7 linked regions of the Kluyveromyces lactis genome follow. The main gene of each other region encodes a partner of the protein of the gene in region 2 in a complex. Links are inferred from orthologs where the notes say so. Each region holds a gene or a part of one and is shown on either strand. Other genes may lie near its edges.

The links.
Region 1: YSH1 (region 2) and CFT1 share a complex: the UniProt entries of both Saccharomyces cerevisiae proteins name them as parts of the cleavage and polyadenylation factor (CPF) complex. The link is inferred for Kluyveromyces lactis from reciprocal best matches to the Saccharomyces cerevisiae genes YSH1 and CFT1.
Region 3: YSH1 (region 2) and SWD2 share a complex: the UniProt entries of both Saccharomyces cerevisiae proteins name them as parts of the cleavage and polyadenylation factor (CPF) complex. The link is inferred for Kluyveromyces lactis from reciprocal best matches to the Saccharomyces cerevisiae genes YSH1 and SWD2.
Region 4: YSH1 (region 2) and YTH1 share a complex: the UniProt entries of both Saccharomyces cerevisiae proteins name them as parts of the cleavage and polyadenylation factor (CPF) complex. The link is inferred for Kluyveromyces lactis from reciprocal best matches to the Saccharomyces cerevisiae genes YSH1 and YTH1.
Region 5: YSH1 (region 2) and CFT2 share a complex: the UniProt entries of both Saccharomyces cerevisiae proteins name them as parts of the cleavage and polyadenylation factor (CPF) complex. The link is inferred for Kluyveromyces lactis from reciprocal best matches to the Saccharomyces cerevisiae genes YSH1 and CFT2.
Region 6: YSH1 (region 2) and PFS2 share a complex: the UniProt entries of both Saccharomyces cerevisiae proteins name them as parts of the cleavage and polyadenylation factor (CPF) complex. The link is inferred for Kluyveromyces lactis from reciprocal best matches to the Saccharomyces cerevisiae genes YSH1 and PFS2.
Region 7: YSH1 (region 2) and PTI1 share a complex: the UniProt entries of both Saccharomyces cerevisiae proteins name them as parts of the cleavage and polyadenylation factor (CPF) complex. The link is inferred for Kluyveromyces lactis from reciprocal best matches to the Saccharomyces cerevisiae genes YSH1 and PTI1.

Annotation. Positions count from the first base shown.
Region 1 is NC_006039.1:879,960-884,732, forward strand, and holds the start of CFT1 (cleavage/polyadenylation factor CFT1), read right to left. Parts: upstream 3,347-4,773; coding exon 1-3,346. Other genes in the region: PRO1 (glutamate 5-kinase), read left to right, coding at 3,685-4,773. UniProt on the Saccharomyces cerevisiae protein: RNA-binding component of the cleavage and polyadenylation factor (CPF) complex, which plays a key role in polyadenylation-dependent pre-mRNA 3'-end formation and cooperates with cleavage factors including the CFIA complex and NAB4/CFIB.
Region 2 is NC_006039.1:418,816-423,823, forward strand, and holds YSH1 (cleavage polyadenylation factor subunit YSH1), read right to left. Parts: upstream 3,071-5,008; coding exon 776-3,070; downstream 1-775. Other genes in the region: DBP9 (ATP-dependent DNA/RNA helicase), read right to left, coding at 1-186; KLLA0_C04620g (uncharacterized protein), read right to left, coding at 3,890-5,008. UniProt on the Saccharomyces cerevisiae protein: Component of the cleavage and polyadenylation factor (CPF) complex, which plays a key role in polyadenylation-dependent pre-mRNA 3'-end formation and cooperates with cleavage factors including the CFIA complex and NAB4/CFIB. Has endonuclease activity.
Region 3 is NC_006041.1:1,606,521-1,610,264, reverse strand, and holds SWD2 (WD-repeat containing protein SWD2), read right to left. Parts: upstream 1,895-3,744; coding exon 914-1,894; downstream 1-913. Other genes in the region: ATP-dependent 5'-3' DNA helicase HCS1, read left to right, coding at 1-932; MCO12 (Mco12p), read left to right, coding at 2,163-2,168, 2,285-2,536; MND2 (Mnd2p), read left to right, coding at 2,855-3,670. UniProt on the Saccharomyces cerevisiae protein: The COMPASS (Set1C) complex specifically mono-, di- and trimethylates histone H3 to form H3K4me1/2/3, which subsequently plays a role in telomere length maintenance and transcription elongation regulation. Involved in mediating RNA polymerase II termination.
Region 4 is NC_006042.1:760,420-763,709, reverse strand, and holds YTH1 (cleavage polyadenylation factor RNA-binding subunit YTH1), read right to left. Parts: upstream 1,746-3,290; coding exon 1,113-1,745; downstream 1-1,112. Other genes in the region: lipid-binding protein PIL1, read right to left, coding at 1-256; FUN14 (Fun14p), read right to left, coding at 1,962-2,468; protein phosphatase 2A regulatory subunit RTS1, read right to left, coding at 3,070-3,290. UniProt on the Saccharomyces cerevisiae protein: RNA-binding component of the cleavage and polyadenylation factor (CPF) complex, which plays a key role in polyadenylation-dependent pre-mRNA 3'-end formation and cooperates with cleavage factors including the CFIA complex and NAB4/CFIB.
Region 5 is NC_006041.1:1,062,265-1,067,279, forward strand, and holds CFT2 (cleavage polyadenylation factor subunit CFT2), read right to left. Parts: upstream 3,271-5,015; coding exon 832-3,270; downstream 1-831. Other genes in the region: KLLA0_E12035g (uncharacterized protein), read left to right, coding at 3,907-5,015. UniProt on the Saccharomyces cerevisiae protein: RNA-binding component of the cleavage and polyadenylation factor (CPF) complex, which plays a key role in polyadenylation-dependent pre-mRNA 3'-end formation and cooperates with cleavage factors including the CFIA complex and NAB4/CFIB.
Region 6 is NC_006041.1:643,996-647,812, reverse strand, and holds PFS2 (cleavage polyadenylation factor subunit PFS2), read right to left. Parts: upstream 2,048-3,817; coding exon 689-2,047; downstream 1-688. Other genes in the region: PFK27 (6-phosphofructo-2-kinase), read left to right, coding at 1-296; BSC6 (Bsc6p), read right to left, coding at 2,444-3,817. UniProt on the Saccharomyces cerevisiae protein: Integral and essential component of the cleavage and polyadenylation factor (CPF) complex, which plays a key role in polyadenylation-dependent pre-mRNA 3'-end formation and cooperates with cleavage factors including the CFIA complex and NAB4/CFIB.
Region 7 is NC_006042.1:1,903,610-1,907,519, reverse strand, and holds PTI1 (cleavage polyadenylation factor subunit PTI1), read right to left. Parts: upstream 2,044-3,910; coding exon 799-2,043; downstream 1-798. Other genes in the region: KLLA0_F20504g (sphinganine kinase LCB4), read left to right, coding at 3,091-3,910. UniProt on the Saccharomyces cerevisiae protein: Component of the cleavage and polyadenylation factor (CPF) complex, which plays a key role in polyadenylation-dependent pre-mRNA 3'-end formation and cooperates with cleavage factors including the CFIA complex and NAB4/CFIB.

The sequences.
Region 1 (4,773 bases), about 460 kb from region 2:
TGACTTGAAATTTGGAGGTACTTTTACCCAATACAATCATTCGATATGGCTCTGCATCAAAACCTACAAAAGTGAATCCCTGCATTGAATCTCCTATTATCATCAAGTTAGAAAAACTCTTTGCATCGGTAATAAACACAGGCATATCCAAAAACGCTACGGGAACAGCAGAATTATCTTCTTGCATATCACGAACAAGCGCTTTTGAGCTCTGGCCGATCATAAATCTCCCACTTATTTCACATACAGCATTCACAGATCCGCGAATTTCTTCTTCAAAGAGCTGTTTAAACTTGAAATTACTATCTGGTTTGCCTGGTTCGGCCACCACTTCTGTTATATCCAGAACCAGTAAACAGCCAGTGCTAGGCTGATCTTCTTCTTTTACAAAAGAACTTCCGATAATGACCAGCTCCCGCTTTCTTCTAGTCTTTGAGTTCAACTGAATGAGCATGGTTTTAATGTCGTTTACCATGGAATTCTCAGACAAGTCAAGCCGATCAATGATATTCCACGTGAGTGGATTGATCAAAAGAAGTCCAGATTTATACCCAGTACTATTTGGTTTGCTTGGATCGTAACCTACAAGGGGCTCACCATCTTCACTTAGAGCTTGATATTCGATGAATTTGGTATAGGAGATGATATACATTCCGGTCCGTTCATGGTACGCAATATTTCCTAAAGTTTCAAATTCCTCAACAACATCTTCAATAATGATTTTTCTAAGAATCTGAGTATTCCCATAATAACATTCAGGATCTAATTTCATTACTCTTGCATTTTTAATATTATCTACGCACATCACAGAGTTTTTACCCCACCTAGCCATTGTGACAATAGGTATATTAGTCATCCGGAATATCCGACATACCGAATTATCTTCTTTGATTATGATATATGGTACTTGACCAGTAATAAATACTACTGAATATCCATTGTAGTTAGGGAAGTAATGAGCAACCCTTTCTATTTTATTAACTCCTTGAGGGTATGCATTGTTAGGAGCACCGGTAATTAGAGGATGGGATTTACATTTTAAGAGTTTACCGCTGTGCTTTGTCGACTTCTTGTACTGATAGATCTCCCCACCAAACGTAAGAATAGTTAGAAATTCTTCTTTCTTATGATGGCCCAATCTGTTTAACATGATTTGCTTTATTGATGGGTCCGGGTTCATTTCTTCAGGAATCTGATACGTACTTATAAAAAGCATGTCTTCTAGCTGATCGACACCATTTAACTGAAATATCCTGTCATTGTGCTTTTCGGTAAAGAAAATAACCTGATTGTCGCCCGTTACAAATGTGAAGAGAAGCTGTTCTTGTGAAGAGTTTTCCAATCCATGTAGGAATTTGTTGCAAATGTTACTCTTGAAAATGGAACCAGATGTGATGATAATTTCATTGAGAGCCTCTGGAAGCTTAAATTTGATGAATTTTTTTTTATTTTTAGAGTCTAGTTGATAAATTTTGATGTTACCTCTAGCATCCGTGAATAGAATATATGGATCAATAATACACGCATGAACAATTTCGATATCAATAGTTAATCTTGCTAACCTCTTAAAGTCAACATCAAATAGATATAATCCTCCTGAAGTTACCTGTAAAATACGTTTATCGTCGTCCATAGTTTCCATGCCGATGGTTCTGCTGTCTTTTCTAAAATCTTGCGCCCTAAAAGGTTCAAAATTTCTATCAATCTGATATACATCACTTTTCTCTTTATCAGCGTCTGTAGTCACAAGATACTTGTCTTTTCCCTTTATTTTCAAATTCCAGATACGGGTCGCACTTGTGAATTTTAAGGCTTGTTCTATGTGGGGCTGGACAGTGGAATGCAATGCAGTGAGGTGAGATCCCCTCCCAACTCCAGATGTAGCTACAATTGAGAATTCATCTTTGTTAGGATTGGGAAGTCTCTGAATAGTTGGTTCAACAGATGCGACCTTACCAATAGTAAGAGATGTTAGAGGACCGATATTGAAAATGGAGTCCAACAATGATATATCGAAAGGCTCTTGTGTTTCGACGATTCTGGTGTGAGTATTATTTTGAGACTCTCCATAAAGTGCACTGTATTCATCGTCATCGTCATCAACAGTTTCAACAAGTTGTCGTTTTGCTGCAAATGCCACTTTCAAGTTTTTAAGTTGCAGAAACATTGCATCACCTGAGAGAAAACCTATAAGAACTCTGCCAGTTTCTAAGTTGAGATCACCACATACCGACAACGGCAATCTTGAATTTTTGAAGATCTCGTTAACAATCGGTACTTGTACACAGTCAAATTTGGTAAGTAGATTACCCTCTGATTCTGTAATAATGTTGTACATCCTGCAGTTTTCATCTATCAAAATAAGCAAATCATGTCTTTTCAAAGCTTTATAGAAATATATTGAACTCTTTGATAGAAAGATATTCATGTCAGAATTATCAGTTATCCTTGTATTGATTGAAGACGTTGCAAATGTGTTCAATCGTATGCACGATTGTAGTGCACCAGATGCACTGATATATAATAATTCATTGACACCAATCAACACATATCCCCTCTTCAGTGGAACCAAGGTGTGCAGGTCGTTCGGAAGATCTGCAAGCTCAGCAATCACGGTGGTTTTTTCATCTTCGACATCTAAACTCAAAACCATGTACCTCATAGTATTTCCAAGTACTTTTTCATTTCCACACCACGCAAGTACCGGTTGATATAATATTCCCACAGTTGGCTTGCTGAAATTATTTAACCATTTTATATCATAGACATGCTTGAGACTCTTGTGAAGGCTAGAAATTGGCATTATTATACTATCGGATGTGATTCCTTGGTTCCTTTTTAAGCGTTTAGCCATTGGCTCTTTTATTCCGTTCTCATCCTCATCAATTTCCATATCTTCTGTGTTCAGTTTCAATGGCAATATAGCTAAAACATCTTCATTAAAAACCAGAAGACATCTAAACAATGGATCCACTGCCATAATGGACTCCGTCTTCAAAGAAGAAGTGCTTAAATTGACAAATTTGTCGTGATAATAATGCAGACTTAGTGTTTCAAGACTCTCTGCCACTGGGTCAAACCTTACCAACGATACTTTGGATTTCGACGAAAGTATTGCAAGCATCTTAAGAGGCGATCCAATTTGGGGCAGTAATTGCATATCTATGATTTTACCTGCTAGTTTCCATTCATATGCAAGTACAAGCTTTTGTGCTCGCGAGACCCTGAATACAGAGAGAACATTGGTTCTTGCAACAACGTATTCTTCCCTTTCCGCTGACGTAAAATTCCCATGTAAGCATTTATTAACCACAGTGGGTTGCAATATCTCGTCAAAAACGTTCATTTATTATCTATCCCCGATATTTAAACGTTTCAGATTCAGGTGTGACTGAAGAGTGCTAGTATGCCCACCTACGCTCGTCTGTTTCCAGTGTTCTTAGTAATGATAGTTACCTATATTTTGAAGAACCGGTGAATATTTAAAAATTCACAGAAACTGAAAGTAAATGTTTCGATGACATCTGCAGACCATTTGAAAAGATGAATAACTGCATCTGCAAAACAGATATAAACATAGTGTACTGTCTGTGAGCAGCAGCTATTAGTCAATCTGGCCTGAAATTTCTGTAACCAAAGGTTTCTACGGACCGCGAGAAGAAGAACGTTTTCCAACAAGTTCAGATGGTAAAGCAGTTCGTCATAGTCATAAAATTGGGATCTTCATCACTAGTTGATGAAGAGACCAAAGAACCAAAACTTTCTATCATGTCATTGATTGTGGAGACTGTGGTAAAGTTACGCAGAAGAGGACACAAAGTTATCATTGTATCTAGTGGAGGTATCGCCGTCGGATTGAAAACGATGAATATGAAGGGAAGGCCAAAGAAACTATCCAAGGTGCAAGCAATCGCAGCTGTGGGCCAAGGCAGATTAATTGGGAGGTGGGATTCCTTGTTCTCTGAATTTGATCAGAGAATTGCTCAAATCCTAATTACTCGAAATGACATTGTTGATTGGACTCAGTATAAGAATGCACAGAATACTATTAGTGAATTACTTTCCATGGGAGTAGTGCCAATCGTTAATGAGAATGACACTTTATCTGTGAGCGAAATCAAATTTGGTGATAATGATACATTATCAGCTATCACAGCAGCGTTGACTGGTGCTGATTATCTATTTTTATTGACAGATGTTGACTGTTTATACACTGATAATCCAAGAGCAAATCCCGATGCAAAACCTATCTTGGTTGTTCCAGATATATCACAAGGATTGCCAGGTGTGAACACAGACGGTGGATCTGGATCAGATGTTGGAACTGGTGGTATGAAGACTAAGCTTATTGCGGCAGAATTAGCAACCAATGCTGGTGTCCATACCATCATTATGAAGAGCGACACTCCAGAAAACATTTCCAAAATTGTTCTCTACATGCAGGAAAGGGACGATGGCGTGAATGAACTTACACAAGATTTGGCTGACCTACAACTCACTGAGATGCAAAGTTTAGTTAATAATCATGTTCCTCTTCATACTAGGTTTATTGCCAATAGTAATCATCATCACTTGAAGAACAGACAATTCTGGATGCTTCATGGACTCGTCAGTCAAGGCGCTGTAATTATAGACATTGGTGCATACGAAGCGTTAACGAGGAAAAACAAAGCTGGTTTGTTACCTGCAGGCGTTATTGAAGTCCAAGGGAGCTTCCATGAACATGAATGTATAGATATAAAATTGGGAGTCAGGGATTCAGATGGAAATTTG
Region 2 (5,008 bases):
GGTACTAGCTTTCGCTATGATATCCCTTTTCTCTTGAAGAGCTAATGGTATCGCACTGGATTGGATCAAAGTAGGGTGTTTGAAGCCGATACTGCGGATGGCTTGTGATAAACGTGAATCCAAGTGGAACGAATCGAAAGAAGAAGAATCATCAATGTATCCCTGGGAAGCGCTTGTTTGAGCCATATTGAAGCGTTTTTCTGGACTCTAGCTCTCGTCGAACACTTTAACTATAACCTCGGTTGTAAGTTTCGATCAAAAGGTTAATGCTGCTGATAGTTGAGACCCATTTAGCCTGTTTTACAGCTCTTGTACGTTCAGACTCTGGATGAGATGAGATGAGCTTCCCAAAAATTTTCTTGAGGTGCAAAAAGAAACTACACAGGCAAAAGGATTTATGAGTCACGTGATTGAGTTATCTTGTCTCTTCTGGATTGGCAATGTGAATGAAATACCTCACTGTAGCTCTGATTTTGCCATGGTATTGGTAGATTGATTTAAAATTTACTGTTATAATGAGAATATATATATATATATCGCGTTTAGTAGTTTAGTAAATGGTTTTTTGTCCTCTTGGTGTCTTTTGTAACTTGTCGAAAACGATATGTTCATTCAGTTAATTGAAACTTGAATGCATCTTTAAAGTTTTAATAGATTATTTAGTACAGAGGAACACCTTGGCAAGATGGCAGTATAGGGTTGAAAAGTATATAGTTAATGCAAAAAGATGATTAATGACTAGCTCATATATAATCATATCTATATATGAGACAGATTAACACAATGGGGCCACCAAGTCGGAGCCAATTTTTAATAAACTCTCTATTCTACCTTTCAATGGATTAGAGTTACATTCTTCCACAACCATTTTTGAGAAGTTTATACATGCTGTTGTTTTTCCTAAGTTGATAGTGCCTTTTATTTCTTCTTTGGAGTCTTCCTCATTCAAAAATAATGTAAAAGTATCACCAAACTGTTCCTTGAAAACTCTCGATATGTTCTTAATTTTAGTCGTGTGATCATCGTGTCCATGATGATGTCCACATGACTTCGAACTCATTTTGATACTTGCTGGAGCGCTCTCGACACTCAGTAGAATTGCCATGACACTATCCGCGACTGAATCACTGATAACATTCTGAGTCCATTGCAATGTAGCTACATTGTCAACTATATTTAATATTACATCTCCCATGATTTTTATTTCTAGTTCACCCTTCTTTATCTTCCTCGTCTTGAATTCGGGATTGATGTTCTTCAATGAGACGTTTTCTTCGTCAATGTATACATCTACGTCACCAAACATTTGGCAGATATGCCAATATACTAGTTCGCTTTTACAGTCCAAGTGGACTGTCTGTCTTTCTGTCAAAACTGTAGTAGATAATTGTTGATAATGTTCTCTTAAATCTGAAAGCGAAACTAAACTTAGATCAAAATTCTTCTCATCTGACACCAATATACCTGAAACTATTTTCTCATTTTCTTCTTTGACAATTTCCGTTTTACTTTCCTCTGTTTCTGGATCCTCTTCATGGATTTCCGTGATTCTTTTCTCATTCTTTAGTGCGTCTTCTTCAGTTATAAACTCATCGAGATCTTCAATAATTTTCCCAACTGCCCTGGCAACCTTAACATCCTTGAACTCAATATCAACAAAGACACAATTTCTAGGATTGAAAACATGAACCTCGTTTTCAGTATCCTTGAGAGAGCTGAAATTAGAAAGAAGGGCTGATTTTAAACGACCCATTGGGTTGGATTCGCCATGAACTAAAATGATGTTGCTAGCTCCAATTAGCTCGATAAATTCTAAATTTTCCCTAAAGTCAACATGAGCAGCGAATGTTATTTCATCCACTTGGCAACGTCTTGGGATAGTTATCTCAGGGTTGTGTACCGAGGGAATAGCCTCAGGTTCTAGTAACAAATATTTTGCCATTGTACCTTCTACAGAATAACCAGTGACAAGAACCAGATTTTTTTCTTCTGGACACCATTTTTCTAAAATGTCTCTAGATAGACCGTTTTGCAACATACCTGGGGATGCTAACATGACACTGGGACCAAAATCCTCGAATTCATCCAAATTCTTGAGGTAAGAAATATTCTTGAAGATGAATGGATTTGTTTGAGAATCTTTGAATTTTTTACGAATATCGTCATTCATCATATTAACATATGTCTGAAAGACACTCATACATTTCTTAGCAAGATTTGATGCGTAAAAGATAGGTACTTGCCCGTTTCCGAGTTCTTCTTTGTGATTCTGCCAATATTCGTCTAATATAAGCATGATTTCTTGAGCTCTTCCAAGGGCAAACACCGGTAAAAGAACACGTCCTCCCTTAGATACCACGGTATGTATTAACTGGGTCAACTTTCTTTCCCTGTTTTGTCTTGGTTCGTGAGTAGCGGTACCAAATGTACTTTCCACAATTATGACGTCCGAAGACTGAGGTGGTACCTCAGCAGAGTTAAGGTGACGGTCCACTTCTCTTGAATAATCACCAGTAAATAATACACGAACACCAGCGATTTCAATTTGAAACATCGCTGCTCCAAGAACATGACCTGCATGGAACGCTGTAAATTTAATACCATTTACCTCCATAGTGGAATGATAGTCAATAGTTTCTATCCTATCAAAGGACTCAGCCAAGTCCTCATCAGAGTATAAATTATCATTACTTGAATCCTGTCCTGGACTGTCTCCTATGCTGGTCACCTTGACGAAATCATTCAAAAGCCAACGATATATAGCTTTGGTCGGATGTGTCATGAATACTCTACCACGAAAATTCGTTCGTTGCATCACATAAGGCAATGATGCCGCGTGGTCAAGATGAAAATGTGAGATTAAAAGAAGATCGATTGTGGAGAGATCGAATTCATCGTAATAGGGCAATGAAGCTAAACCTTGATGGGCCGGATGGATACCTGCATCTAACATTAGAGTCTTGCCCTTATACTGAAGTATATGACACGATCTCCCCACTTCATTGGATCCTCCTAGTGAGAAAAAGCGAAGATGGTCCTTGTCTGGAACCTCATTTTCCAATTGAGTCATTTCTTGACAATGCAAAGGACAGACAAAATGCTCTCACAAACACGTCAAAAGTTACTGTCTGCTTGAGCCCCCCGATATCTGTTATGAGTGCCCGAATACCAACAGAGGTTGCTCGGTAACCATTGGACAGGACACTCTTCTTTATGTTGAATTGCTAAGATTTTCAATAAACGTTAACTGGTTTTAATGTCTTACAGAAAAAAGTGAGAAAAAAGTGAGAAACTAGGAAATAGCATATTGGTGTACAGAGGGAGTAGAGGTAGATATTGATAACGAAAAGTTAGTAAAGAGAGGGCTGAAGGCAACCTAAGATGATTTGAGAACACATCTTGATAACAAATGTCGTTACGTACTGTTTCTAGTGAGAATCTTGCTGCTTGTCGGGTTCTAACACCTATCTTAAACTGATTGTTTTCCCTTACTATGTAGATGTTGAAATAATAATATGTAGAATTTCTGATCGACAATATATCAGAATGAAACAAAGGGTAAAGGGAACAGGATAGGTCACGTGACTAGATTTATTTACTTGGATCAGGTCACATCTGGCTAAATTACTGCAAGTGTGTTGGTAAAATGGAATGAAACGAATTAAACTGCAGAATGTATGTAAACACAAATTTTTTTGCTAGATATATATTACAACTAAAAACGAGTGAATACTCTTTGAATTAAAAGGAAAGAGTAGAATGAAAACGAAATGTTGTGGAATGACGGAAACATAAGACATTAACACTTAGTATGAAAAATGGTTGTATTTTTTTCTTTAATTACGGGGAATATCCTCTGTAGAGGTGTTCAACGTTTGAATTGAAGGCTTCAAGTGAGGAATCCATAATCGTCGTTAACGGTCCAAAATTCTTCAACGGGAACTGACAACATAGCTTCCAATTGCTGTTGTTGTTGCTGTTGCGGTGGTCTTTGACCTTGCTGATTATCTGGTTGATTGAAGTTCATATTCATGTTGGTAAATGAAGAGTTTCTCCAATTCAGGGAGTTATTCAGAGTGCCAGGATTGTTGTCTCGATTGGGCATGACAAAAGTCTTTTGATCATTTGTTGTCGCTGATGATTGTAAAGATCCGTTTAGGTTGCCCATATTGTTGCCTCCATTCAGTGGATCTACGTAATGATTACTGTTCATCAAATCCAAAACCGAGTCGTTGGTCCATGTGGAGATGTTGTTGATCATCGTATGGGTACCATTATTGAAGATTATACCATTATCGTTCGGCCTGGGTGAAGGACCGACGGAGAATGATATTGGGTGCAACGGTGTGTTAGGAGACTTTACAAAGTTGGCTGGTTGCTTTTTTTGGAAAATGTCTGCATTTCCGTGTTGCCAGCCGGTTGGGGAAGACATGTCAGATGAAGTTACGGATGCTTTATTATCAGCACCACCACTAAACAGTGAAGGATGATTCTGAGTGATGGGATTTAATGAATTTTGATTTTGTTGAGGGGGCAGAGTAGTTGCTGTCCTATTATTCACATGAGACCCCATCCCATTGGCAGATTGCATCATTTGCGCATTGTTATTCTCGAAAGCACCATTTAATGAAGAAAGGTAGGCCTGTAAATTTTGCTGCGCTTGATGTTGTTGCAAAAATGCTTGCTGCTGGAATATTTCCCAGTCGGATTCTGTGACATTGGCAGGCTTCTTGACAATGTATTTGTTCCTGGCAGTGACTTGTTCTGGTGGTGTTACCATCTCAGAAGTGGAACGAGTGTCGACTTTGCTTAACTCATCGGGGCTATGAGCTAATGAGGCTTTCGAAGTCGTTATTTTGCTGTCATCGATTCCATCATCTTCATCCTCTACCTTAACAAGCAAATGTGATAAAGATTTTGGAACAGAAGTCTTTTGAAGTACACCTTGTTTACGCTTTCTTTCTCTTTGCTCTTCCAGATCAATTTGACTATTTTCGACAAACCCAGC
Region 3 (3,744 bases), on a different chromosome or scaffold from region 2:
TGAGTGCGTATGATCTACAATCCAAATTGTTCAATACTTTGATCATTGATGAAGTTTCACAAAGTTTAGAACCTCAGTGTTGGATCCCTTTAATCTCACATTTAAAATCAGATATGCAAAGACTCATAATAGCTGGAGACGACAAGCAGTTACCTCCAACGATCAAAACTGAAGATAATGATAAAGTAAAGCGCTTGTTGAGTACTACCGTGTTTGACAGATTATTGCAACATTACGGCAACGAATTTAAGTACTTGCTAAATGTACAGTACAGAATGAACGAAGAAATTATGCAGTTTTCTTCTAACGAATTATATGACGGGAAATTGAAAGCAGATGACTCCGTTGCGAAACAACTGCTAGCAGATTTACCAGGTGTTGAATCGAACGACAACACTACTTTCCCATGTATTTGGTTAGATACTGAGGGAGACGACTTTCCAGAAAGGTCTGATGAAAATGACAACGATGCAGACGATAAGTTCCACCTAGTCTCTTCAAAATACAACGAAAATGAAGCATATTTGGCATTATACCACGTTGAGCAGTTGATAAAGGCTGGTGTTACGGAAGAAAGTATTGGTGTGATCTCCCCGTATAATTCACAAGTATCGCTGTTGAAAAAACTCATCCATGAAAAGCATCAAGCAATTGAGATATCTACCGTAGACGGATTTCAAGGTAGAGAAAAGGAGTGCATCATCCTATCTTTAGTAAGAAGTAACGAGAATTTCGAGGTTGGGTTCTTGAAAGATGAAAGAAGATTAAATGTCGCGATGACCAGACCTAAAAGGCAGCTTTGTGTCATCGGTAACATGGAAATGTTATCGAGATGTCGAGTGCCATTCCTAAATAGATGGGTGCTCTGGGTAGAGTCTGGCTTCGAAGTCATATATCCAGATCCCAGTATAATTCATTCGTTATATACGTAGAAATCTACAGTTTCATCTGCAGTGACAAACATGCTATATTTAGGATTGAATGCAATAGTTCTGGGACATGTATTTGGTGCGGCGTTAATAAATCCTTGAGGTTTGAGCGTCCTACCACTGATGAAGTCTGCGTGGTTCCATATCGCGATCTTCCCAGTGTAATCAGTTCCCAATGTAATGCGTCCATCTGGAGTGAACGTTGCGGATCCAGAATCCATGAACTCTCTCAATGGGAAAGGTTTAGTTCCTGATAATTCAAATAACTGTGTACCATCGAAGGAATCCATGATCAAATGTTTTCCAGCGGACGACGCAAGCAACAAATATTTACCATCGTTTGAAAACTCCAATTTATTCCACTGATCAAAGCTTGGATCCACATTTATAACTAAAAATGGGCCCGCCTTCAAATGTTTTACGTTATATAAACCGACTTCATGGTTCTCAGGGTTACCAATGGCGAACACAAGCCCGCTTGGATCGTAAGCAATGCATGTGGGGACTAAACTTGGTATAAGGGCCTGTGCCTTGGAGCTTCTCAAATCCCAAAGTCTTACCGATTCGTCATACGATGCAGACAAAAAAGTATCATCCAACGGGGACATTTGTATATCGCTCACTAGAGCACCATGGCCCTGGAAATATCTAAGGTATGTGTTTGTTTCAAGATTCAAATGCCTTATGTCAAACGATTTCATAGTGGATGAATAGATACATTCTGATTGCGCATGTGTAAACTTTGCGGAATGACATCCGTATTTTTTAGAAGCGATGGTATTCAAAAACCTGCAACTTACTGCATCATATAGATGCATATTATCACTAGCAGTTGCAGTCAACAAGTACTGGCCATGGTCATCAAATGTCACTGAAGTTATAGGTCCCAATTCTTTATCAGAAACTCTGAAGGACTTCACAGGCTCAAATCGTAGAAGATTGCTCTTGGAAATGCTAACAGTCATATTTCCTTTCTCAGCTAACTTTTAGATAATCACAGAACTGTTGCTAAACCGCTGGTGTCCCGTTGAGCTTCTCTTTTTGTCTCCAAATTGGTAATATTTCTTGATGGTGTTAACAGTTTTATTTAAATTTAAATGTTCCTCGAAATTGTAATGACATCTGTCAAAGAAATCAATAGTGTTAGTCACTTGCAGGTAGAGAAATAGAGCCTTTCTGGTCTTACTCTGGCTTTATAAAGAACTGACATATTTGAGATTTGTAATAAGAATCATGGGTGTACGTACCGTTCATTTTTTTGAAGAAGGTGGTTAGATACACCACCGTTTTCATCAACGGACTTTGATTTACTAACTAAAAGGTAATCTTAACTGCATTTATCAAATTCCAATCAGGTTAAAGATATAGTTCATTACAGTATTGACTTAGCGTTGTTGTCTATGGTATTGGCTGGATTGCGTAGAAGTAACAATTATGTTGTCGCTTATGAAATGTCTGACTTGAAGAATTATATTAAACGGTATCTTGACTGGGGAGAATACTTATTCGATAAGTTGGCTAACATGGCTGAAAGAAGTGCTTATTTTAGGAAACAGACTCCTTTTGACAAGTTCTTGGATCATATGGAAAGAAAGCGTAACCTGTAGTTACACCAATAACGTTTATTCAAACATACATACTAATATATAATATTCAGTTCTTTTTAGTGTCTTCTATCAATTCATATCAAATATAAGATAACTGGAGTGAATGCCATCAAGACGCCGGCGTTTAACTACTGGTAATTGGTGAGTAGTACAGCTCTCCTTATTTTTGTTGATGCTTTTTCTATTTCTTTTAAAATAAAACCTTTAAATCATGATTTACTTGTGTCCTGTTAAACACCACTGTGTCAATGGCAATAACAGACATTAAGAGGCTGTTCACAAAATATTTTTGGAGACAGTAGGCTTTACAAGTAAGATATGGGGCTTGGAGAGTTTATGTATGGCCTTGATGCCTTCAGACAACCTTCTGCACCATCCGATTTCAATAACATTCCTTTGATAAACAATCTACGAAAAGAGCTTCTGCAAAGCAAGACAAGCAGAAAAGGGAAACCGGTGAGTTGGAACATTGATAAAGATACCAAGAGACGGATCAAGCCTGGGAAGAGATTGATTCCTCTTGCGGCGTATACTTGCCATAGTGAGAAACCTTTAATTGCCAATAATGACGGAGATGTGTCTGATTCCAATACCATTAACATTCTAGATAAATCGACACTATTGCTGATAAGATCTCTTGGCTACTCAAGTTTGCGACCTATTGGCATTGATAAAACCCTAAAAGAGATCGAAAAGGAGAAGGGAAGTAAACAGAACAAGCAACAAAATGAACACAATTCAGGGCAAGAACCAATACTTAATGCCTACCAAACTTCCTCTTCATTTATTGTGTCAAATCATAATCATCAACATACAGAACAATCGGTACTGCTGACAGCACAAGTTGGTGAACAATCTGAAGAAGAGTACGATCAAAGTTATGATTACGATAACGAGTATGCGGAAGTTCACGAACAAGGATCTATGCTCGACAGAACGAGAGGTACGTTTGTTGAGGATTCACAATTAATTGATACAAGTTATACCAACCGGTCAAGATCCAGGCATTCAAATGTGGATGCACTGCCATTTGTAAATGAAAATGAGGATTCGGTCCATGAACAGCCATCGTTGACCATATCTGATACTCTAGACTCCGGTGCTCAAGGTTCACGAGTATCTAGCCTCACCTAAATGCCTATTAAAGAAGAATGACATGTATTAAACAAATAAAATAAAAAATGCTAACCTTTATGAATGATATTTAT
Region 4 (3,290 bases), on a different chromosome or scaffold from region 2:
ATTGCTTAGCAGCATCTCTACGTTCGTTAGCAGCCAATTCAATAGAACGCAACACGTTTTTCTCAATCTTCACTAATTGAGACAACTTACGTGAAAGTTCAGGACCAAACGCACCAGCTGCGTTTCTTCTGAAACTGTAAGCTAAACCACCCTTACCGAAAAATCTGCTCTTGGTAGAAGATGGTGGTGGTGGTGGATTCTGTAAATCAGAGGCAGTTGGTGCCCTGGTAGTCCTCAAAGAATATGTTCTGTGCATGGTTGTAATATATGGTGTCTTTATCTTTTTTTTTAACTATTACTCGATCAAATGAACTCTATATAACTGAGCGTATGTTCAATATTAATAGCTTGCGTGTTATTATCACAATAGTAACCTTACTTTTAAATATAGAAGTGTTATATATATATACAAATAAATTACCAAATGCAATGGCAATTCTCCTAAAAGTGGCCGGAAGTTGCTTTGGAAAAACCTTGCTTCCATTAATTTTCCTTTTTACCCTTTTCCCTTTTTTTTATTTCTGTTTGTTTTCGTCGAAAATTTCATTTTCCATTTTGAGCAAAACCTCGCTGGTTCATAGACAGCAGCAGAGGAGAGACGAAGTGACGAAGAGGTACCGGTCGACAGCCTTGCTGTGATGCGAGACTGCCATCCCAGTAGCTGGCTAGTGCCAGTTATAGGTGTATTAGAAAACTGACTTCAAGAACTCACGCTGTTGCCTGGTGTACATTCATGCGTCCGCTCTCAGGGTTAATGCTTATCAGTATTGCAAGAAAAAAAAGAAACCGAAAGAAACTGTGGAATGGAGTGTTCTATACTGGGGAATATGTCGACCGCGTGTCCATAAATGAAACTCAGCGAATGATTTTGGCTGAGAGGTCTGATACCTATTGGATAAGCAATTTAAGGTATGTGAGCCTTGGTTCCCTTAATTTTTCAGGTGTGTTGCTTTTGCTGTCGGTTGATAGAATTATCCGGCTGTAACATTGTGTAGTATTATGTTACTTAGTATCTGTATCTGTATCGAATTACGTATGGTGAGCTGAATAGTGAATAGTGACAGCAGCAGTGGCTGAGAACGAACGCACTGATGAAAACTGAAAAAATTCAGTCACGTGACTAGGATGTCACCGTTGATAATGGCATTCAAGCGTCTTTCCCTTTCCTCATCCATCTTTCTTGTATTAATATGCTCGTCTTTCTTGATGCGCAGTTTGCTGTGTTCTGAAGGTACTTTGAATTTGGGATGCGACCAGTCGCAATCTTTACCCAGTGGACAAAACCCTACCAAGTATCTGGGGCAAAGTACCTTTTTGACATGTTTCTTCGTGCATGCAGGTCCCGATGGACAGAACCCCATATTATAATCCTCACATTCTTCTAACTGACTCTTGTGATCTACGTGCAAGTATTGACACTCCGGTGATTGTGTACAGTACCCGTTCTTGGTGAAGAATACACACTCGGGCATCTTTCTTAGGTTATACTCGTGTAAATATTCACATTGATCGTTCTTCTTGCAGAGACCTCGGAGCCAGTGCTTACAAACAATCTTGTTCTGAAATATCGGTAGCACATGCTTGTTTGGACAGCGTGCTCCGTTGGGACAGGATTTTATCCCCTCTCTTGAATTATAGTATTGGCATACCGGTCTATCTGGATCTAACGAGAACGAATATTCTTTCCGTAGAAATGGCTCGAAATTAAACTCGTACTTCGAGGTATCTGGATGAACTATACTCATTAGTTTAAACTCCCTTATCTCCTTGACAACCCAGTCTAATGTAGCCTACCAGTCGTTTATGAAAATGTCTTTGATGATTGGTAATTAATCATGTTACAAGCGAGTTACACACAATAATTATTTTACTAATTCTTAAATATAACGTTATAGGATATTCTGGGTTTTCACATGAGAAAAAGTCACGTGAACTGAATAAGGTAGCGTTCTCGGAACCAATCAGACGTTAAGTGCAGCTAGCACAAATGTCAAGATGAATGAGACTTTGAAGCTGGGTTTGTCCCAGATCAATGTGTTCAAATCAATCCTCTCACGGCCGATGGTCACAACGTATTTGGAAAGAGAACGAGTGCTGTCACTGCTGATAACTCCCCTGTTCTGCAAGAATTGTAACCCAACGAATCCAACCCCGGTGATGAACACGAGAAGACTTGATATCTTACCAAAGATAACACCGAACACTAGACCTAAAATTGACCCGTAGCACATTTGTCTGTAGTTGACTCTTCTTTGCTTCGAACTTATATCAACACGGCTTGGCAATCCAAGCTCTTGTGGTAGATTCGTTCTTTGCTTAACATCAACAATTGAATCGTTCATGATATATGAGCTTGGTTGCATCGAGTGCAACAACGATCCACCACCGACTAATAAACTACCGCTGAATCCAACATAAACACTTCTTCTTAATGGCACGCCAAGGTTTCTTGCTGCTGTTCTGAACATCTTTCCTAATTCTTTACCTATTATGTCGATTGGTCTGTCTTCACTCGAGGATATAAAACACAATTCTGAGTTGAACTAAATGAGACTGATTTCTAACCGAATTTCTTCGTTATCGAAAGATTAAATTATAAACAGTGATTTTGTCTACGAATTGTCGTTTTCTTAACTCAATAGCAATTTGCACGTACTTCTCAATATTTCTTTATATAGCCATACTGACGATGGAGCCTGCGACCCTTTTTTTTCAACCGATGTTGAAATTTAAGAATCATACAAAACCCAACATGCTGAAAAGAATAGGATTTGGGTGACAGTCATTATAAAAAAGAATATATAGAATTGTCAGTTAGAAAGTGATAAGCGGCAAGTTATCAGTCAAGTAGTACCTTTATTACTATTTTATATGTAAATTAAGGCCTCCTATTTGGGTTGGAAATCATTTGTCGTTTACTGATATATACGGAAACAATTCTATGTTCGGTGAAAAAGACGCGTAGATATAAGTATATACATAACTTTTACCGTGATGATGATGATAATGAAGACGATAATAATGATTTGGTGATGGTGAGTCCGTAAGGATGATAGTGGTCACTTTTTTTCAACTTTCTGCGATCTTCAACTTCGAAACGTAATCCTCTAATTGTTTCCAGTTCATTTCCCTCTCTTTTTGACGTCTGTTGTTTTCTTTCAAACTAGATATGTAAAGTGCGTTGCAATTTTCGTATAAGACATTGTTCGTTTCAAGGAAAATTTTCAATGCTTTGAAAGCCATTGCATGAATGGCACGATTCCATGAGCCGGAATTTATGGCTTGCTCGA
Region 5 (5,015 bases), on a different chromosome or scaffold from region 2:
AAAACTTCTCAGAGACTTCTCAGAGGAAAAAAGAATCTTTAAGCGGGAATTCCAGAAAAATTGCAACAGGTGAGAAATAGGAAAGGAAAAAAAAACAACAGATAGCAAAAGGGGAAAAAAATTAAACGACCCCGGAGAGGATTGAACTCTCGATCTTGCGATTAACAGTCGCACGCCTTAACCAGCTTGGCCACGGAGTCGTATTTGTGGAATATCGGGATTTTCTGAGTTTCATATTCGGGCTACCTGTTGTGGTATATGACTGTACATGTCACGTGGCTTAGATCTTGTCAGATCTTTATTAGAAGAATTCATCTTGATTAGCTATCTATCTCCTAGTAGAATTAGATGCACCTGGTGTCTGTAGATCTGATCCCTACTAATTAGTAGATTAGATCTGAGTACTGGTTTATATACTTTGCTATGTGTCAGTGACACAAAACTATCATTAACCGCCTATTATATTGGTATCACCCGGTCATGCATTATGACTAGTTCCAACGAAATCAGTGTTCTGCAACCGTTGAGCGAACCTGTAGTGCAAAGTTTTTCTATTTCTCAAGTACAGATCCGCGATAGTTTAATGGTTAGAATTCGCGCTTGTCGCGTGCGAGATCGGGGTTCAATTCCCCGTCGCGGAGTATATTTTTTGCCCTCTAACCCCCCCAGATAAAGAATGCCAGACCTAGAATAGATGTTTGAATCCCGACATACATACCCCATTGGTCAGCTCTACAACTGATCTATAAATGCTTTACTACAATGCTAAATTACTATAATTAATTAATATCTAAGTCGATGTCACGTTTATAGAAAGCTTCCGCGAACAATTTAAACGTTGGCTAGCATGTCTGACACTGCCGATTTGACCTTGTAAAATACGTCCGATGGTGAACCATCAACTATGGTTTCGGCATCATTAATCTTCCGAACCAAAACTTTGCCATCAATCACTAGTGTACCTTCACCTTGGAACTCAGCTTTATGATTTTCCGCAGTTAGTCTTCTTTTCAATTCCGGTAGTCTAACATCTCCGATTCTTAGAGAACTTCCAGAATGTAAAGCTAACGGGTTGCTTAACGGTTTCAATATAACCTTCTCCCGATGTGGGGCTTTTGGGTCAGTTTCTGTCAATAGTTTACCAACAACGTGTGCCACAGTGAAAGATTTACTGATTCTTTGCCAGTTTAGAAGTTGGTCGAGCGATGGATCGATAGAAATATCAATTGCCTTGACAGATGTATCCATCTCAACCGAATTATTGAACTCAGTCACCAATATGTCAATATTTCTCTTTGTTAGATTAACCACGACTTGGTTATCAACAGGAGCAGCTGATGGCAGCACAATGACTTTTCTTGGTTTGATTGCAGGCCAGATGATTGCTATCGACCGCGCATTAACTATGCTTGTCAAGTCGATATATACCAAAGAACAACGAATGTTAACTTTTGTTTCCACAATTGCTCGTTTATAAATGTCACTTTTCAATGGGTCCAAGTAAGAAATATCATCATTATTTTCTTGTTTCCTAGGATTATGATCTGTTTTTCTTTTCTTTGATTTATTAATCCGCGAATCAAGTACCTCATATGTATCATCGTCATCGTCTTCATCATAATCGTTATTACTATAAGATTGCTTTAAAGATTGTGCTTGGTCATATGATTCTTCCTGTGGTAAGAATCTCTTTAAGTTGACCACATCACCGTAATCGTCAGATTTAAGCTTTGCTGGATGGAATGGGAACATAAGGTGCTTTTCATTTGTGGAAACACTATCATTGGAAGTAATATCTACGGGAATCTCCACTTTAACGTTTCCCGATCCATTCTTGCCTCTTGCATCCATTGAATCCACACCTTCTTCGTCGCTACTCTCATCATCAACATCAAAAAGTATTGTTTTTGTTTGAGCTTTGTCATTGGTCTTAGCCGTATATTCTTCGATAATTTTCTCTCTTACCTCATTTCTAGTTTTAATCATTTCTCTCACCTTCTCCGCATCCTTCTTGTTTAAAATTGTTCTCTTCATGATTCGAAGTGACATCGAATCAGATATGCTAATGGGGTTGCCATCCAATGCACTTCTACTCCCATTCTTTATTGCTTGTTGCCATTTATCATTAAGTTTTCGTAAGGGATGTTGTGCTGGGGTATTTGGATGTCTCTCTGTCAATATGATCGTTACTTTATCTTTAGAGCAAAGTTTGTTTATCGTTTGTGACAAAATATCATCAACTTCGGAAACAAGACAGATCTTTTGCCCAGTGTAACCTCCCAATTCCTCAGGAGTAATAATCCTCAATCTAGATACAACATCGAATGGAGACCGATTGTCTCGAGATTCCCAGGTCTTGATTACTTGCGAGGACAACCATTCTAACATAGATTTAGCATATGTGAGAGAACGGCCCCTTGAATAAGATATTAGAAACACCGGAATATCATACTTCAATCCACCCCTCATATTTTCATATAAGAAATTGTTAACTAGGACTAGTACTTCCAATAGTTTCCCTCCTACTTCAACTGGTACCAGTAAAGAGTTATTCATTTGTATAGCTCTTTTCATGGTATCAGTGAAATGTTCTACTCTTTTCCTCTGAGGTTCAGCTGAGCCTATAATAGAAAGGTTGGTTATTACAGAAGTCGGATGCATCATGGAACTGGTTGGATTTCCAGTATTGTCTAATAGGTCCGCACTATTCAAGATAGTATCTCTTGTATGGTTCCAACGAGGCGCATACAATATTTTTTCTGATGAAGTGATTATCGTCCAAATGGTACCACCGGGAGCATACCCTGAGTTATGTGCTTCTAATGAGAGCCCATCGAATTTATTCTTTAAATCCACCGTTTGAGAGTATTTCACCGTTTCAATCAAGTCAAAGGAGCTTTCAATATCTTCTAGGTCCATGACGGCATTAGAAAACGGTCCTAATATCCCAACTGAAGTTAAAAGGTCAACACTGTTGACTCTGCCTAGATTTGATACAGGTAACGTCCCATAAACTTGAATTCTCGACCTAAAATGAGGCAAAAACTGTTTAAACATCATGGCATAGGACCCAAGGCATTCAATTGTGGGCTGGGAAATCAGAACAATGTCAACTTCAGATATGTACTGCGTCCAAAACTCTTCACATTCTTCATAACTGCCTTCACCGTTCCATCCTGGGTCCAATAATACTATTACATTGTTGAATCGTACAATGGTTCCCTCAAACCGCTTCTTCTCATCCCTACATGTTTCGATGGTGTATGTCATCTTGAGAGCACAGTTACTTCTATATTTGAAAAACAATGAGAATCCACTGGTTGGAATGGGAAAGGAAAAGGTGTCCTCAGTGCCGGCAATCTCTTCTTCTTCTTCCTTTATCCTTCATTCTTCAATTATTTGCATGTACTGTTTAAATGAACTTAATGTTGATGCCTTGAGTATCATTTTGACATGTTATGTCCGGGTAATGAGATATAATGTCAGTAAGAAGGATTAAGAGGCCAAACTGAGACAGGGAAGTTGTTATTGGACGAGATACTGCTGCAATCTGTAGGTTGGTACGGTCCAGTAGGTGGAATATCAAACATATTTCATTGCTTACAATTATAGGCAACAAAATCCACAATTTTATCGGTACTTTAAGTGTCAAAATGTATTCCGAACGTTCTTTGAGGTTGAGTCAGCATATTAAAGAATAAAGCGACAGATTACGGAACAGATTGCTCAACTGACCCAAACACTGGAAGAAGTCTAAAGGCATCTTGGATATACCAGCGTACTTGAAATCAGTTGAATTATAAGGACCTAGTTTACAACGTGCAAGATAAGCTGCATTAGTTGACACTTTTGACAGATTTGCTAATGATAAGAAGGAGGAGAAGAAGATTTAAGGGTACAAAAGTAATGAGTCTTCCGATCGAAATTATTGATCGTGTAGTAACTAGCGGACTAGACAGTCTAGAGAGTCTGTTAGCATGGAGTAAGGTTGGTTCACATTTTAGAACAATTATAAAGCGCAAGCTTGGTGTATTGAAGATTTGGGATTTGGATAGGGAATCATCAAAAACCTTAGCAGATCCTTGCAATTATGAGTTGTTATCTGATGAGAGAAACACCGCTTGCGTAAATACAGATACGTTCAAGTTTCCTGTGTTGAGCGAATTTCTACGGAAGTTTGACAACGTTCTCATTGTCATCGTATCCGATCGCTGCTACAGTGACCCATTGGCGACGGCATTATGTGAATTAAGTAGAGGGCTAAGTGGGATGGGTACTCTAAAGAATCTATGCTTCATGTATAAGACGACTACCAATTTCCTTTCCAAGTTCTATTTCAGAGAGCTAAGCCATTGTCAAAGCCAACTACGATTATGTGAATTACATATATTCGCCAACCGAGATATTAATCACCAGGAAGTTGACATGTTTGATATCGACACGATATTTGAGACTACTTATTTACATGACGTGGAAACGCTGTTCACTTTGAACATAAGAAGGGGTAAGAAAGTGATTGCACCTAGGATTATGACAGTGAATCAATTGCAATGTGAGGATAACACTACAATAGTCGATGATCTACAATACTGTCCCCTGCTTAAAACGATTGAAAAATTCCAAGTGCCACCAGGAAAGAGAGTTGTATTACCACCATGCGACCATTTAACTCTCGTCAGTTACAATAGTAACACTGAAAGGGATCTTGTTGATGGATCCTTCGTGAGAGAATCTTTGACAATCAGGGCATCCCCAATGTGTTCAGAAGCCAATTTCAAGAACATCAAATGCCGCAACATTCGATCCCTATGTGTCGAATTTAGTAACAGTGTCTGGGGTAACGTCAAGTTCATCGATTGTGCTTTTGGGAACCTAAGGTCTTACAGGTGTCCAGTGAATACAGAATGGGAAGATTTGGTTTATTCAAACTCAATTTACGTTGATACAATCATATTCAAAATCTCAAACATGCTGTCACTACAGAACCTCGCACAGATCCCATTCACGTTGGACAA
Region 6 (3,817 bases), on a different chromosome or scaffold from region 2:
CAGGACAATTTTCTGCAGACGATAGTAATATGTACTACTTCCCCTCGCAATACTGTTCCGATACAGCAGAACTTATCAATACAATGGAATATTTCATGGAGAATTATTCTAAAATGTACGGATACGGATACATCGAAAAGGCTAACGAATTTTTGAAGTATGGGACATCGTCCCCTACTTCTCCTCAACCATCCTCTTCCCGTGATAGATCTGATGCCATAGATGAAAATGTCCGAAAATCCAATATAATGACGTTGCACGAAAGTATCAATGATACTTATCTACAAACGTTGTAATCTCTTATACCATATGATTTGGCTATATTTATTAGAGTTTGAATGCCAGTGCTCCTTGCCAATTGATACACCAATTATAAAAAAAATATTAATGACGAAATGATATCTTATAAATTTAATGACCTTTTGACCGCCAGTTGATTAAGCGACTGGAATTGTAACGACCTCCTAACACTTTTTTGTTTTTATTTCTCGGTTCTTTTTAACACTTTTATATATTCAACAACTACTGATTCTTTTTTTACCTATTTAGTATAGTATTTTACTCGTTAACCTCTATTTTAGTTTATTCAATCGATACAGTCTACTTATTAATGATGAAGAAAAGGTAGATTTACATTTAATCTGCTTAAATAATATTGATGCTATAATTTCCATGACTTTCAATTGTCTTAAAAACTTAGGCCTGGTAATCCTGATCCCAAACCTGGTAAAGTACTGACAGATGGTCGCTCAGGTTCAACTGATCTGGAACCGTCGCCATTTTCATTATTATTGGAGTCTTCACTTGGTGGCAAAGCAACACCGTGTTCTGTTTTGTTTCTGACAGCATTAATGTTATTATTGATACCGAAGTACCAAGCATTAACTTTTTCATTGTTATATGTTGGATCATCAAAGGCGTTTGGATCGACTGCTCTCGATCTCGTCCAGAATCGAATAGTCCTATCTTTCGAGGCGCTAGCCATGATGTGACCAATTGGACTATATGCTAATGATGTAACACATTTTTCATGTGCATATGGAATGTTGTGTGTAGGTTTGTTTGGCTGATTTTCCTGGGATAGATCGAAATGTTTTATAGATCCATCATAGCATCCAACGGTAAACACTGTTTCATCGATTGGATGCCACTGTAATGTCATGTAGTCGACATCATCACGAACACTGAAAAGCTCTTTAGCCTGTTGTCGTATATCATATACCTTGCATGTTTTATCCTTCGAAATTACAGATAGTAAGTTTCCCTGTTTGGGTTGGAATTTCGTCGAGATGATAGTATGTTTAAAACCAAGCATGGTGGATACGCAGCTACCACTACGCGGATCCCAGAATTTGATAAGATTGTCTTTGGATCCTGATACGATTAAACCCATCTTCGGATGCCAGTCGCATGATTTGACGTCCCAATGATGGCCTGATAGCACCCTTTCTTGTTGTCCGTTGCTAAAGTTCCATATTTTCAACACATTATCATCAGAACAACTGACAAACTTCTGGTCGGTCGGACTAAACGATATTTCCCTTACACATTCCATATGTGCTTGGTCCATGACTTTAACCATATTAAAGTTTGGTTGCCAGATCTTAAGCTCCCCATCAGCGCTACCACTAACCATCCAATCCCCTGTATGTGAGTATGTCATCACGGTTACTGCACTATCATGAGCCTGCATAATACTTTCGAAATTGAAACTGGATCCACTCCATAATGAAAACTCTCCATTGTATGTAGCTACCACTAACCTTCTTCCTTCTGGCGTCCACGTAAGAGCCGGAATAACGTGCTTTACCTTATTTGATGAAAGATGCGTAAATTTGGTTGCTGTATTGATGGCATGCCCATGAAAACCATAGGCATCTGGCGGTAGTATATGAGCATTATATGAGGTTTCTGCCTCTATATATGACGAATTCTCCTGGCCATGCTTCTTCAAGAAATATAGTCTATCATAAGATGCAGAAATGTCAATTGTTCGTCTTTGCGATGTATACTTTTTAGTTGTGGTGCCCTCGGTATTAGGATCCATGCTATGTCTTTTTCAAGCTGAGACCAGGCTGTGTTGAAATTTCTGAGAACAGTATGAATAGTAGTTCACCTAAGTTTCGTAATGTGAAACGTTGGCCGTGTCTTTTGATACATGTTTTATGCATTTCCTACCTCTCAATATCATTAAATGCAAGTAATATTCTGATTTCGGTAGTTTTTGATGCCAGCTCGATGTTGAAGTTGCTTCAAGTAAAGAAAAAAAAATAGATCACGTGCAGCAGACCTTAAGCATAAGAATGAAGCTGATTCAATTACTTCTGTAGTATGGATTTAAAATACATATGTCCGTTAAGAAGTAGGAGCGATTCCCCTATTATATATAAGTAAATAATTTCCATGCGCGGCACGATATTCATATCTGTTGAGCTTGAGTAATTTATAAGTACTCTCTATGTCCTTTGATAATTTTCGGGTAGAGCATCCAAACTATGTTGAATGCCAAAGAACCAAGGAAGCATAGAAATGGATAGTATTGGAACCCAAAAATCTTGTTTGCAAACCCAAAAGAGTATGTTATTAATGCACCACCACACCCTCCGAAAGCGATTGCTGTACCAATACCACTAACTTGTTGATGTTTCGGTAGGATTTGGATTGCAACAACACTTGCGTTAGGGAACAAGGGACCTATGAAGATACCAGCGCCAAAGATCATCAACGATAAAACAAAGAAATAGAATGTCGATGTGGAATTGATTAGATTGATGATAACGAATAGGAAAAAAAACAATGAACAAGTCAAACCGTACCAAACGCTTGACCTGTATTCATTTTTGAACCTTTTTGTAACAAAACCAAGACCTAATCTACCGATAGTGATCCCAGACCAGAATGACGCAGTAACAAATGACATAAGGAACTTCTCACCTTTCTTATAATTCAACAAATATGTGAATAGCCATGTCCCAACACCAATTTCTGTACCTAAGTACAAGAATAAGAAAAATGCATACAAGAAAATCATCGGAGGATACTTCGATAACTGGTACCATTTTATCTCTTCCTCATTTTCAATACCACCTGATTCATCGGGGACTCCTACACAGATGTATCTGTATTTGGTAGCAGTTTCGTATTTAAAGGCCCCCATGCAGAGTGCCAACCCCACAAGAGCAAACACCAAAGGGACCCAAAAGATATAAGACCAATCCAAATAATGATCGAAGGTTGTAACTAATGGTGGGGTTACACCAGCGGCCAACCCGTATATTCCATGAAGCAAACCCATCCATTCATTCTTTCTAGTCTCTAAATTACCAAAGTAGAAATTACCTGTAGAGTCAACAAACCCAACACACATACCTAGCGGAAAGAAGCATATCGCATAAAGATAGAGCGAATATGGTTTTAGGGCAAGAACCAAGTAGGTAAATGCAGCAAGTATACATGATGCTGTCATTACGCCTCGAGACCCCCATTTTTTATGCAAAATATCATTTAAGACCGATGCCGACACATAGCCCATCAATTGAAGGAAAAACACTATCGACATTTGAAGCTCGGTGACATTGTAATACTTAGTAATAACAGGCATCAAAGATCCATTCACTTGATCCGTCATACCAAACATCACGAATAATACCAAACATGTCGCGATTTGTAGGCGGACGACTGACACCTTTTCATAATTGGCAGGATATAGCACAACTTCTTCGCCTTCGTACCATGTCTTGCGCAGCAACTCACTACCGGATTCATCAATTTCAAAAGCTTGCTCTGTATGGATATCATCGCCACCTTTCGGTAAAGT
Region 7 (3,910 bases), on a different chromosome or scaffold from region 2:
ACCCATGGATTTATATACGATTTTTTTTCCCATGATTCATGTGCACCTCATCTGTATAGTCCCGCGCTCCCTTTAAGAATCGCCTTGCTTTAATTTCATAAGCACTTTTTTTTCATTGATCTCTAAGCTCAATAAGCACAGTGTTTTACGCTGTAGTAATTATCCGCGCGCCATTCAAAAAATTAAGAGCAGCGAATAGGTATTTTAACGAATAGGTCGGTGAAACTGCGACGGAAACCTCTTCTGCCCTCTCTTCCTCCTTCCCTCCTTTCCTCCTTCCTTCCTTATCAGCTCAGATCGGCACTGATGATACCTGATATAACATACTGAAAACAGAAACGGATTACTGCAAGAGAGGACTTGACAAGTTTTTCTTTTTACACACGCACATAAACAAATATCTATCTAATCTCTCCAAAGGATCCTGACACAAAGTGCTCCGTGTTGCTGTGGAGGGCGGCAGCTACCGCCAAAACATTCGAATAGTAGCCCAATCGTTTCGGCATTTCTTTCCCTTTGCGCTTTCCTTAGACATTTCCCTCGACGTTCGTTTCCCTTCATTTCGCCGCATGCATTTGACATCTTCCTGTTTTGAAATGTCGGTTATTTCAGCTTTTTCCATTTTCAGTTTCCTGTATGAGCCAAGTCGTTAAAGAGGAAAACTTGCGCGCGGAACTTTTAGGTTGGGAAACACGGTGGTATACACTATAGATAGAAAGAAAGCCTTCGAGCCATTATGGATGACTAAGAGATAGGAATTGTGCTATGTATTTTTCTTGTTATTGCTATTATTATTATCTATAGAAGGTAGTCGTTTTTGAGTTGCTGTATTAGTTGTTGCTGGCCTGGTGGAAGAGCCATTATGTTCGTTATGGGCATCGAAAGCGCAGTTCTGATCATGTTCTGTTGATCTTGCGGCAGTAGCGAAAGTTTTGCCTCGTTGAACTGCTGTGGGGTGTTGGCAGCGTTGGTTGTAGCGGTGGTGGTAATATCACCACCAGTACCGTTACCACCGCTGTTAATGCCTTGAGCCGTCTGGGGTACAGACGGCTCAGGTAGTTGAACTGGCGGCAGAGTTGGTACTGTAGGCGCGGCTGCGGCAGGCGTGGGTCCAACAGAATGTTGGCCCTGCATTTGGCCTAGAACATTTGATATCACGTGATAGTTTATCAACCCCATTTCTAGCATTGCCTGAGTGACAGCTACCGTTAAGTCAATGTTAGTCTTCAAGAATTGTTCCAGTTGTGGCTTCTTGTTATGCTGGTTGGCTAAGATCTTCAAGTTTGATAGAATCTCGATCATTTGTAACGTAGGAATCTTCGATAGATTTTGAGATACCACATCCGGTGCAGTCATCGAGCCCGGTTGGTATGCTGGTAGATGCTTTGATGCCCGTGCTAAGATCTCTGGGATCTCTATCTGCTGTGCCGGTGCCTCGTTCGCCTTCGAGGCAAGGTTATCCGAGGCAGCATTCGTAGATGCAGTGTTATTCTCCGAGGATAGTGTGCTTCCTGCGTCACTTGTTATTGGTTGCACCACCGGCAACGGCTTTCTTGGTAAAGGTACCTCACTTACCATTTCAAACGGTAGTTCTAATTTGTAATCCCAGGGAAAATTGTCTCTTGTGAACTCTAACGGTTTCAGTTGGTCTATTTTCTCTAACTTTTCTTTCCAATCTTTGGGAATCACCATGGACATCCTACATGGGAAATGGTTTATCTTATTTATTGAATTTTGGGCCCTATTGGCGGAGGAAGAGTCCCTGAAATCTACATCTACCCATTCAAGACATCCTCTTTCACTTCCAGCTCCAGCTCCAGCTCCAGTTCCTTTTCCCCCTTCTCGTTCTCCTGCTTCTTCGACCTCATCCACGTATTTCTCTCTAACGTCAACTATATATCCAGAACCAGTTATCACAGATGTGAAGTTATCCTTGTTCCACTGAGCAGGTATGTCAGTAAAACGTATGGTAGATGAAAGATTGTGCGGGGTCAGTTCATGCCTGCTTTTCCTAGTACGAGGATCCTTCTGTGGGTCATGCATACTTTGACTGTGTTTAGTTAGAAACCAACTTAAGAGTATTTCACCGTTTCGATATATATATGTATTCTCTAAATTGCAAACTTGTTATCGCAAATATCTGACTGGTGTCTAGTAACTAGTATTATTTTGCCTCACAATGAATCGTTACGAACATACATAATTACATATTCATTCTTTCTAGTCGACAGCAGATTTCTTAATTCATTAGTATGGCCGTTAGTCTTTAACGATGCTTAGAATCTTTTTAAGTTAACATTCATATAAGAACAATATCCGGGTAATAATTGATTATATATCACGTGCCAACTGATGTTTCTTTTGTTTTGTATTTCTTAGATTTACATGAAATCGAAAATCAGGAAGCCTTCGAAGTTAAAACGTAAAGATATGATTGATGAATAAGAAACTGTTCTGTCCACATCCAATATCAGCCAGAGTATTGTTAATCAAGCCTCTACTATTTAAGAAAATTGTTCTAAGGATCTACTCTCGTGGTTTGTTATCTAGACAAGAAGACAGTCTGATAAAAAAAGCATTGCGCATCGGTTCTTATATAAGCATCGTGAACCTAGGAAATTTGTTTAGAGAATTTGTCTGTGAGAATTCTAGTTTAACTGGTGGATAGTACTATACTTTATTATCATTTCCAAGAAACGTTTCCATTTATCATATTTATGACAACGATTTGGTGTTCTCCGTTTTCAAGTTAGATATATCAAATTAAATCGAACTGAACTGAAAGGAACAGTAATATATCCGTCATCCCGAAAACATACCCCCTGTGATTTATTAGCTAGGTATTGATAAGAGGATTCATCAGAGAATAACAGAAGACATAGTCATTGATCTTGTTTGACTGTATCTCAATTTTGAATCAGTCTCTTTTTTTTTGATTTTGTTTTGCGTTATTTTCACGTAAAGGTGGAAAAGAGGTAGTTAATTATTCTTGTTGAGTTGCCAAAACTGTTGTGGTCCAAACAGAGATCAGAGTCTGATTCAGATATTTCCCTTCATCTGAGAAAAAGGAAACAGAGGGCTGCAAGAATAATGAGTAAGCTGAGCAGGAAGTATCATTTGCCCTATACAAGAGCCATCATTGGCGAAAATGGTTTATTGATTAAAGATCAATTTACGTCCGGTCCTTCAACAAGCTCATCGACGCTTTTGGCACGCAGAAGTAATGGAGGTGATTTCGGCGATGACGAGGATGACGAAGACGGCGATGCTTCTGGGAGCTTCCAATCTAGTGTTTTTGAAACAGCTTCGTTAATCAGTTGTGTTACTTGTCTCAGCGACACGGAATCTAAAGATGAGAATGAAGCTCTGCTGCTACCTTCAAATACGGTTATTCCTTACGCAAAGATTCTTGATGTCACGAATATGGAAGCAGAAGATGATGGTTCCCCATGGCCGGATCATACTGCATTGATTGAAGTCACTTTTGCAAAGCCAAGGAGGAACCATTTAGTCCCAAAAACAATAAAATTGAGCGTCGATACTTCAGTGTTTCCTAATATGGGAACTGATGTGGCAGAAGAGATCTTGAATAGAAGTTATAAAAACACTAAGAGAAACAAATCAATTCTAGTCATTATCAACCCACACGGTGGTAAGGGTAAAGCCAATAAATTGTTCTTGTCCAAAGCCAAACCAATATTATTAGCAAGTGGTTGCAAAATCGTTGTTAAAGAGACAACATATCATTTGCATGCTGTCGACATTGCAAAAAATTTGGATATAGATGAATACGACGTAGTTGCATGTGCTTCTGGTGATGGTATCCCCCACGAAATTATGAATGGTTTGTTTTTAAGATCAGATCGTGCTAAAGCATTCCAGAAGCTAGCCATTACTCAATTACCTTGTG